Linked DNA regions of Nothobranchius furzeri. The protein of the gene in region 2 purifies or fractionates together with the protein of the main gene of each other region. This does not show direct contact. Links are inferred from orthologs where the notes say so. Each region holds a gene or a part of one and is shown on either strand. Other genes may lie near its edges.

Region 1 (3,920 bases), on a different chromosome or scaffold from region 2:
ACATCTACTGAAGGCCCAAATTACACATTTGTGTACATTTACAATAAGAAATTCTAATCTGGTAATCTTAATCCAAGGATCAGAGCTGTCCTACACGGCGTCTTCACATCGGGGCATCTCAACTGGATGACACGTTCCTGCCGTCAGTCATGGAGGTCGGGTCAGAGAGGCCCATACTACTGGTGCTGGAGGTGAGGGGTGTGTGAACAGTGTGCAGACAGTGTAAACTGTGTGAAAGACAGAGGCGGGGGCAGAACTGTGAATGCGGCATAAGATCACATAGAGCTTGCCATCCCATCCCTCAGTCCGAACACTACTGAGCGTCCTCTCAGTACGGGATGAGTGGGTTCAGGCCGGGTCAGGACCAGGCGGGATACACAGGCGCCCAGTCCTGATGAGCACTAGGACTGAGCTGAGAATGGAGTTGGGCTGGAGTTGTTGTGGTTGGAGGACTTGACGATGGTGATGACGCTGGTGGTGGCCACCTTGCCCGGTGACATCGGCCCTCGGGTCACAGTCCTGGCGAAGCACTGCAAGGCCTCATACTTGGCCCGCAGTGCGTCCAGCTCCAGCCTCATGCTGGCGTTCTCCCGAGCCAGCTTGTCCACCTCCTGCTGCAGCTCTATCTTTTGTCTCTCGAGCTCCTCTTTCTGGGTGACACGTTTGATGCGACAGCTAGCAGCGTAGCCGCGGTTCTTTAGGGTCCTTCGACGCTGCTTCAACCGTACAACATCCTCCTTAGTGAGCCCGCGGAGGTGCTGGTTGAGCTCCCGCACAGACATGGCCACCAGCTCGTCGTCGCTGAGCGCCGGGGCATTCTCACCCACCTCCTTCTTGACCTGCAAGATGTGAGGAGTGGATGAGCTTCATGTGCAAACGACTAGAAGATATCTCTGAAACTTCACACGCTTACCTTTAAAGCTTTGCTCGGCTTAAAAGGAGTCGTCATTCCCTGCATGCAGAAAACTGACCAGAATCTCCCAGAAGCTGCTCTGAGGATAGGAGAGAAAAACTAAGTACCACGTTACATGTGATGAAACACTGGCTCAGATGTTGCTACGGTTACTAGATCTCAGCTCCATAGGTTTGCTGATGTTTTTATGTCACTGAACATAGAGAGATGTCTTGTAGGAAAAATATAAACCACCTTGCAGACAGTTCATTTCAGTATGTTTAGATCCAGATGGAAACTTTTAGAATTACAGTCTTAAAACACCTTCTTCAGCAGATTAAAATGGAATTGGACAAAGGTAAATCAAAGATTCATTATTCTGAGCTCCGACCCACATGTGTCCGTCAGACATCTTTAGCTGTTTTGTGAATATTTTTGCAGCAGGTCTCAGGCTGCTGTGACTCAAAAGACCCTGAGTTGCTTGCACAGCTTGTTTCATGTGAATGTAACTGAGTAAATATAACAATTTTAACAGGGTTTTAGATCATGACTGATTGAGTTTGTTAGGGTTCCGTTTTTTCTTTCAAAATGACGATGCTCAGAGGTGTCATTCTTTAGAAATGGTAAATGGCCTATATTTGTAAAGCACCTTCTAAGGTTCTACAACCCCACATGGTTCTTCACAACACAATAAGTCATTCACCCAGCCCTAGAAGTCTGCCAGAGGAGAAAGTTGCTTCAGACGGCAGGATTTGGAGTCTTAATTCCTGATATTCGGACATCTAATCTCTGATTGGCCAACGGCAACTTAAGTCCACCACTGACTCCATTTGCTCTGCAACACTGATATGCAATCAAACAACACAGGCCTGAAGGAGTTCTGCCGTGTGGTGGTTGCTAATGCTAACGGTTAGCTTCTATTAGACAAAACATTCTCTGCTGTTTCCTGGACGCTAATCCAACAACAGCACTCCCCGTTGTGAGTCAAGATGAGTCCATGAATGTTAAATGACAGCATTAGCATTTTTCTCTGTTTCCTATCAGAAGCTAATACAGGACATGGGGGTAGAAGACTATTTTCATGTTCAGCCTGCATTTTCAACTCAGAGTGACCGATCATTTTCAAAATAGATAAAAAGATTTTAAAAAAATAGTGTTTCTCAGTGAACTTGCTCTTTAAAAAATGGCTAAATGTCAGTACTAATCCGTTTTATTGTACTGGTATTCATAATTGCTTCTTCCATGTCAGTCTTTGACCGGTGGAGGCTCCAGTTCAGAGAGAAACAATGAGTAAGGTTGAGATGGCTTTATTGAAACACCATGTCACCTGAACCCAGAAACAACCAATCTCCCTCTCTACAACAGCTTGCTGCCTTTATAACATCTGTGATTACTGGAAGAGACCAAGAAAAGGGTAATCAGAAAACAAAAACCAAACAATATTTACATACACCTAACACCAAATACATTAAAATGGTACCAGTAAATCTTTACATAAATACAATTCATTAAACTTAAACAAATCTAAAGTCAATCAACCAAGCAAACTTAATTTAACATAACTTCTCTAAGCCTCACCCCTCCTTCTCTAAATGGTAGGCTCCAAGAGCTTTTCAGCAGCACTTTGGGTTTGCATCTCTCTTTGCTGCCCTGCCCTGTTAAGGAGACAAACCAGGAAGAGGTGAGTGTATACTTTCAAATCATATCTTAAGGATTAACTCATAATTTAAGCAAACACAGTAATTAAATATAACTGACATTCTTACTCCATTCCTAATAGGAAGGATGGCCAATCCCTCCGGCTTCCAGGAATGCCCCGACACAATCAAAGAACCAAAAAACAAACAATTTATCTTTGACGCAATCCTACATAACATAATACCAATAATCGCATTCCTTTTCAGTGATGGAACCTCTGGTCTCCTATCACATCTAAAACAGATCAGCAAAAACAGCACTGACACTGACGTTCCTCTGTCCAAGGCTTACGTCATGCACATGATATCAGTATTTTGGCTTGCTTTGTGCCACAGGTGCCAGAAGATGGCAGTAGGACACAATAAAACCCTAACAGAACAGTGGTCACATACAAGCAGAAAGGAGTAACCTTTCTCCCCGTTTACTTTGTGCTTTAACGAGTTGGTGTTAGGCCGTTCTGTGCTCATCATCGTACATCCCCATGGGGGAACACACTTCACTTGCTGCTGCTGGGGCTCAATAAATAAATAAAACAGGCTAAGCTGTGATCCAAACATCCCCTAAGGCTCCATTTCAGAACCTGCAGACCGGCTCAACTCAGAGTGCACTGTTCCATGCGCCACAGCTACCATGGCAACACCCTGCAGATGGGCGTGGGAGCATGAGTCACATGGTCACTAAAAGGGTAAACATGTCTCATTCATAACCACAGCACAGCCCATAAATAGTACCAAAAACAACTATACCAGGAACCTTATGTCTTTAAAGCTTTTGCTGATTTAATCTATGAATTGGAGCCTGCTTGTATCTCTGTGGAGGGTTTGATCCTCTAAGTTGATGTCTCACTGCTCTACTTCCTCATCACACATCAGAATAACATTTACAGTTACGTTGAACTCGCGGGTGGAAAATTCCAGGCTGTGCAGTGTCACAGGGAAATAGTTTCCTTTATAGTCACTGATGTATTTTTACTGTTAGACAATGTAGTCTATCGATTTAAGGCCGTCTCTCTCTGGCTGGATCCTCTTACGCTGGGCTTTCCTGAGCTGCTCGATGCCCTTATTTAACTCCGCCGGATATATTTAGCTCCCACTGCTGACACAAATTTCTGCCAACTGAACAGTTTAGGTGCGTATGCGATAAGTGATACATCAGCGTTGTGAGCTGCTGGCTTCATGGAAGACGCTAGGAGTGACAGTCCAATTTGGGACGGCAATCATGATTTTAAAATTTAGCCGTCACTTTTTACGACGGCCACCGTGCAATGAAATTGAAAAACAACCCCTCAAATGGGAGAAACTGCTCTTAAAAAGGCTTGAATGGGAAGTTA
Region 2 (3,920 bases):
GTGGTATTCCGGCCACGAGGGCCGAGTGGTGTTTGGTTAACCCTGTAAAGGGTCATTTTAGCACATCCTGGCTCAAGAAAAGGATTTAAAACAGGAACATGACAGTTTTAAACCCCCTCCAGGGATGCTGTGAGATCATCTCTTGCTGGTCAGTCTTTCATCCATAAGCACTGATCCTCTATTAATGAATGATTAGTGATTCTGTCTCACTCGTGTGCGTTTGTAGGAAACTCCGCCTGTCGGCCGTAGGACTGATGACTTCCACTCATCTCCCCTCTGACCCAGCGTCCACACACATCCGTTACATGTTGGCTCTCACCTCCATCATCACACAAAACACCACAGAAACATAAAAATCCATAGGTGTGAAGGGAATGTTCAGAAAGATTCTTCTCATTTTCCCCCGTTTGGTGCTGAAGCTCCAGCTCCTGCAGCCACGGAGGCAGAAGAACCAATCAGAAACCGTGATGCAACACCTCTGCAACACGCTCCTTTGTGTCCGACTAAAGTCTGATGCACCTTGTTTGATTCTACAATAACCTTTTAGAGGATGTTTCATGAACAGGTCATTTGCAGATTTTCTTTTCCATTCACAGGATTTTACCTATGACCTTTAACCCCAGAGGTCACAGTGGACAGCTATTCAGAACTTAGAAAATGCAAGGATGTAATAACCTACGTAGCAGTGGTGCATGGTGCTTTTATCTCCATCCTAGAGCCCAATAGGACCAGAACCTCGTGACTACAGCGGGCCACCAAAGCTTCTGATAATAATAATAATAATAATAATAATAATAATAATAATAATAATAATAATAATAATAATAATTGTTGTTATCAGAACAACGATCCAGGCCATGCTCCCGTGGAGCTGCGGGTTAAAGCCTGAGTCACTGCGGCTCCATCCGACCCCTCCCCCAAAACCCTGATTCCTCACAATAAACAGGAGAGATGCTCGGAACGGGAGCGCGTGCAGAACAAAGGGCTCCGTGGGTGACACTGCGCATGTCTGCAGCCTCCACGCACGTGCTGTGAAGCCGTGCGGAGTCAGTGAAGATGTGATGTTTACGTCAGCTATCTTTTTAAACAACAACGATTAGAAACGTCCTCATCAGGCTCCGGGGGGAGGACCGGGACCGCGGGGGTGGGGGGTGCGGGCCCCCTTACCCCCCCCCCCCCCCTTCCGTTGCATCAGCATTGTGGGAGACAAAGGATGCTGCGGGATGCTGAGGGTGTCACCGCTCCTCAGACTGCTGCCTCACTGCAGCATCACTCCTCTTCATCATCTCAGATGAGAGGAAGATCAGATAGCAGAATGCTGCCTTCACGTCATTAGCATGGCATCTCTCACGCGCGAGCGTGCACGCAGCTCCTCATTCTGTGATGTAGTGAACAAAGACGGCAGCAGCTACAATTAGTCTGAGCGGAGGGAACATCATTCATCCTGAATAAATCAAAATCTGCACTGCCACACACACACACGCACACACACACACACACACACACACACACACACACACACACGCACACGCACACGCACACGCACACACACACACACACACACACACACACACACACACACACACACACACCGTCCACCTTGGGGTGGGGGTGGGGGTGACTAAGCCTCACTGCAGCATCACTCACATGACGCCGCTGTTTGACTCGCAGCTGATTTACACCGACGCTCACGTACGGATCTGTGACGGAACCGACCTGGACCATCGGAACCAACCCAGCTTACGCAGCAAATATGGAGCCGTGTGTGTGTGTGTGTGTGTGTGTGTGTGTGTGTGCTCCCACCCAGAGTAGAACATGAAGCCAAAACAAAGAGGAGAATGGTGCAGTCTGAACAAAACAGACTGTGGTTAATGCCTGAGTGATGCGTTTAAAGACCGAGTGATGCGTTTAAAGACCGCGCTGTTCGGGATTCCTGCAGCACCGAAACCTGAACAAACTGAGGAAAAGGCAGCGCGCGCCGCGTTGACTCAAAGCACAACAGGATGTGGTGGAGTTGTGTTTCACTCCTGAACCCGCGTTCACACCCCTACACACCCACGCGCGCGCGCACACACACTCAGTAATATAGTAATATTCGCACCAAGCGTGCGGTTTCTCACTCGTGCTTCTCTCTCTATCTGACTCCTTCCAGAACCAGCGGGGACCTGGTGGTTCGGTCCAGCCGCGGTTCTGCTCCAGTTTGACAGTAAAACTGGGACACGGCGGACCCAGGCGGGTCCCGGTGTGGGCAGTGGCCGCGCAGGCTGCTTACCTTCTGCTTTCTGGTTCGTGTGTTCCAGCCCGTCGGTCCAACAGAACTTCTTTCACATGATGACCCGCTCCGCCGTCTCCTCGGAGCCTCTCGGCGCATACAGACCAATCACGTCCCGGATTATTCTTCTCGCTTTTAACGGTATAAAAATACAAAACAGCGTGTGTCATGAACGTGCGCGAGCGCGCGCGTGTGGATGTGTGTGAGTGTGCGCCGTGCTCCCGCGCGGCGTGCCGCTCCGTCTCCGTTGTTTGTTACACTCGACTGGAACGCCTACTCTCAGTCGCTACATTGTTGACATTCGGCCGCTGACGTCACCTCATTCCCTCATTCACAACATCGTAGGCGCGCGCTGCCTTGCGTTACAGTAGGGGGGAGGCGCGCGTGTGCGCCGCGGAATTGGCGCAGCGGAGCTTCGAGAATGGGACCGCAGACCCGTTAGCTCAAATCCCTCCCCCCTCCCCACAGATCCTCCCGGTGCTCCTCCCCGGTGCTCGCGGCGGGACCGCGATGACACGAGGCACTTTTCACAACCTGAGAGGAGAAGTGGAGACGAGGCGAGAATGAGCTTCATTTTTCTGAATCAGAGCTCAACGATGAAAACTAGTACTACTATAGTACTACTAGCAGCACCAAGGAGAATTATACTAGTACTAGCACCATTGCACTTGCACATTCCTGTTTTTGGCATGCACGGTATTCAGGAAAACTGGGTTTTAATTTACGATCTTCTGGATTTTGATTAATATAAGAAATGTCTGCACTTGATTTTTCTTTTATTTATTTTTCTAATTTTTTATTCTCCCTGTGTTTTATTTATTTTTGCTGTTTGTTTTGGGAATTTTGTTGTATTTCCTTTTTATCTTTTATCTGTGTTCGACATGTTTGTATAAACTTTTTTTTTACCTGTTTAATTAACTAACATTTTTAGTGTACAGCGCCTTGTTTGGTTGTAATGCCTTGTGAATGCGCTCTATAAATAACATTGGATTGGATTGGAAAGTACAAAATGTTCAAAAACGTAGTTTTTTTAAAAATAAAATGTTCATCAAACTAAATTTCTGCCTCAAAACATTGGCAGTAAAAACAATAACATTTATTATTATCATTATTATTGTTGTTGTTAATATTATTAGTATTAAAGAAAGAAAGAAAACAATATTTTCTGTTGTGCCTCTCAAGATAAAAATCAGGAGGTGCTTCACAAAAACAAAACAAATTAAAGTATAAAAAAGATTTCAATAAATGTTTAAAAATATGTTTAAAATGAGAAAAAAATAAAAATTGTGATTTAAAAATGTAGGAAAGGAAGGGAGAAAATAAATAAATAGGAAAGAGGGAAACCAGTGGAATGAGGAGAGAGAGGTGATGAAGGTCACACCAAAGCCTGAACAAGTGAGTCTTCAGCTGCTTTTTAAAGGAGACCACTGAGTCCTCTGATCTCAGGCTCAGGGGGAGAGAGGTCCAGAGTCTGGGGGGCCATGATGATATTATTATTATCATCATTGTTGTTGTTGTTGGGTTCAGGCAATCATACATATAGATATAAAAGTTGGTATCCTTCCAAATAATAAAGTAAACCCCACAAACTAGTCGCTTAGGAAGGAAGGTTATATGTAACATGCTTCATATCCAGCTGGCTGCTGGA

The links.
Region 1: the proteins of bach2b (region 2) and mafk purify together in Homo sapiens (co-immunoprecipitation; 3 studies listed by BioGRID and IntAct, with this or other methods). This does not show direct contact. The link is inferred for Nothobranchius furzeri from reciprocal best matches to the Homo sapiens genes BACH2 and MAFK.

What each region holds. Positions count from the first base shown.
Region 1 is NC_091745.1:5,294,495-5,298,414, reverse strand, and holds the end of mafk (transcription factor MafK), read right to left. Parts: intron 2,548-3,920; exon of another isoform or gene 2,471-2,547; intron 993-2,470; coding exon 914-992; intron 840-913; coding exon 402-839; 3' UTR 171-401; downstream 1-170. UniProt on the Homo sapiens protein: Since they lack a putative transactivation domain, the small Mafs behave as transcriptional repressors when they dimerize among themselves.
Region 2 is NC_091743.1:91,361,569-91,365,488, reverse strand, and holds the start of bach2b (transcription regulator protein BACH2), read right to left. Parts: upstream 2,493-3,920; 5' UTR 2,273-2,492; intron 1-2,272. UniProt on the Homo sapiens protein: Transcriptional regulator that acts as a repressor or activator. Binds to Maf recognition elements (MARE). Plays an important role in coordinating transcription activation and repression by MAFK.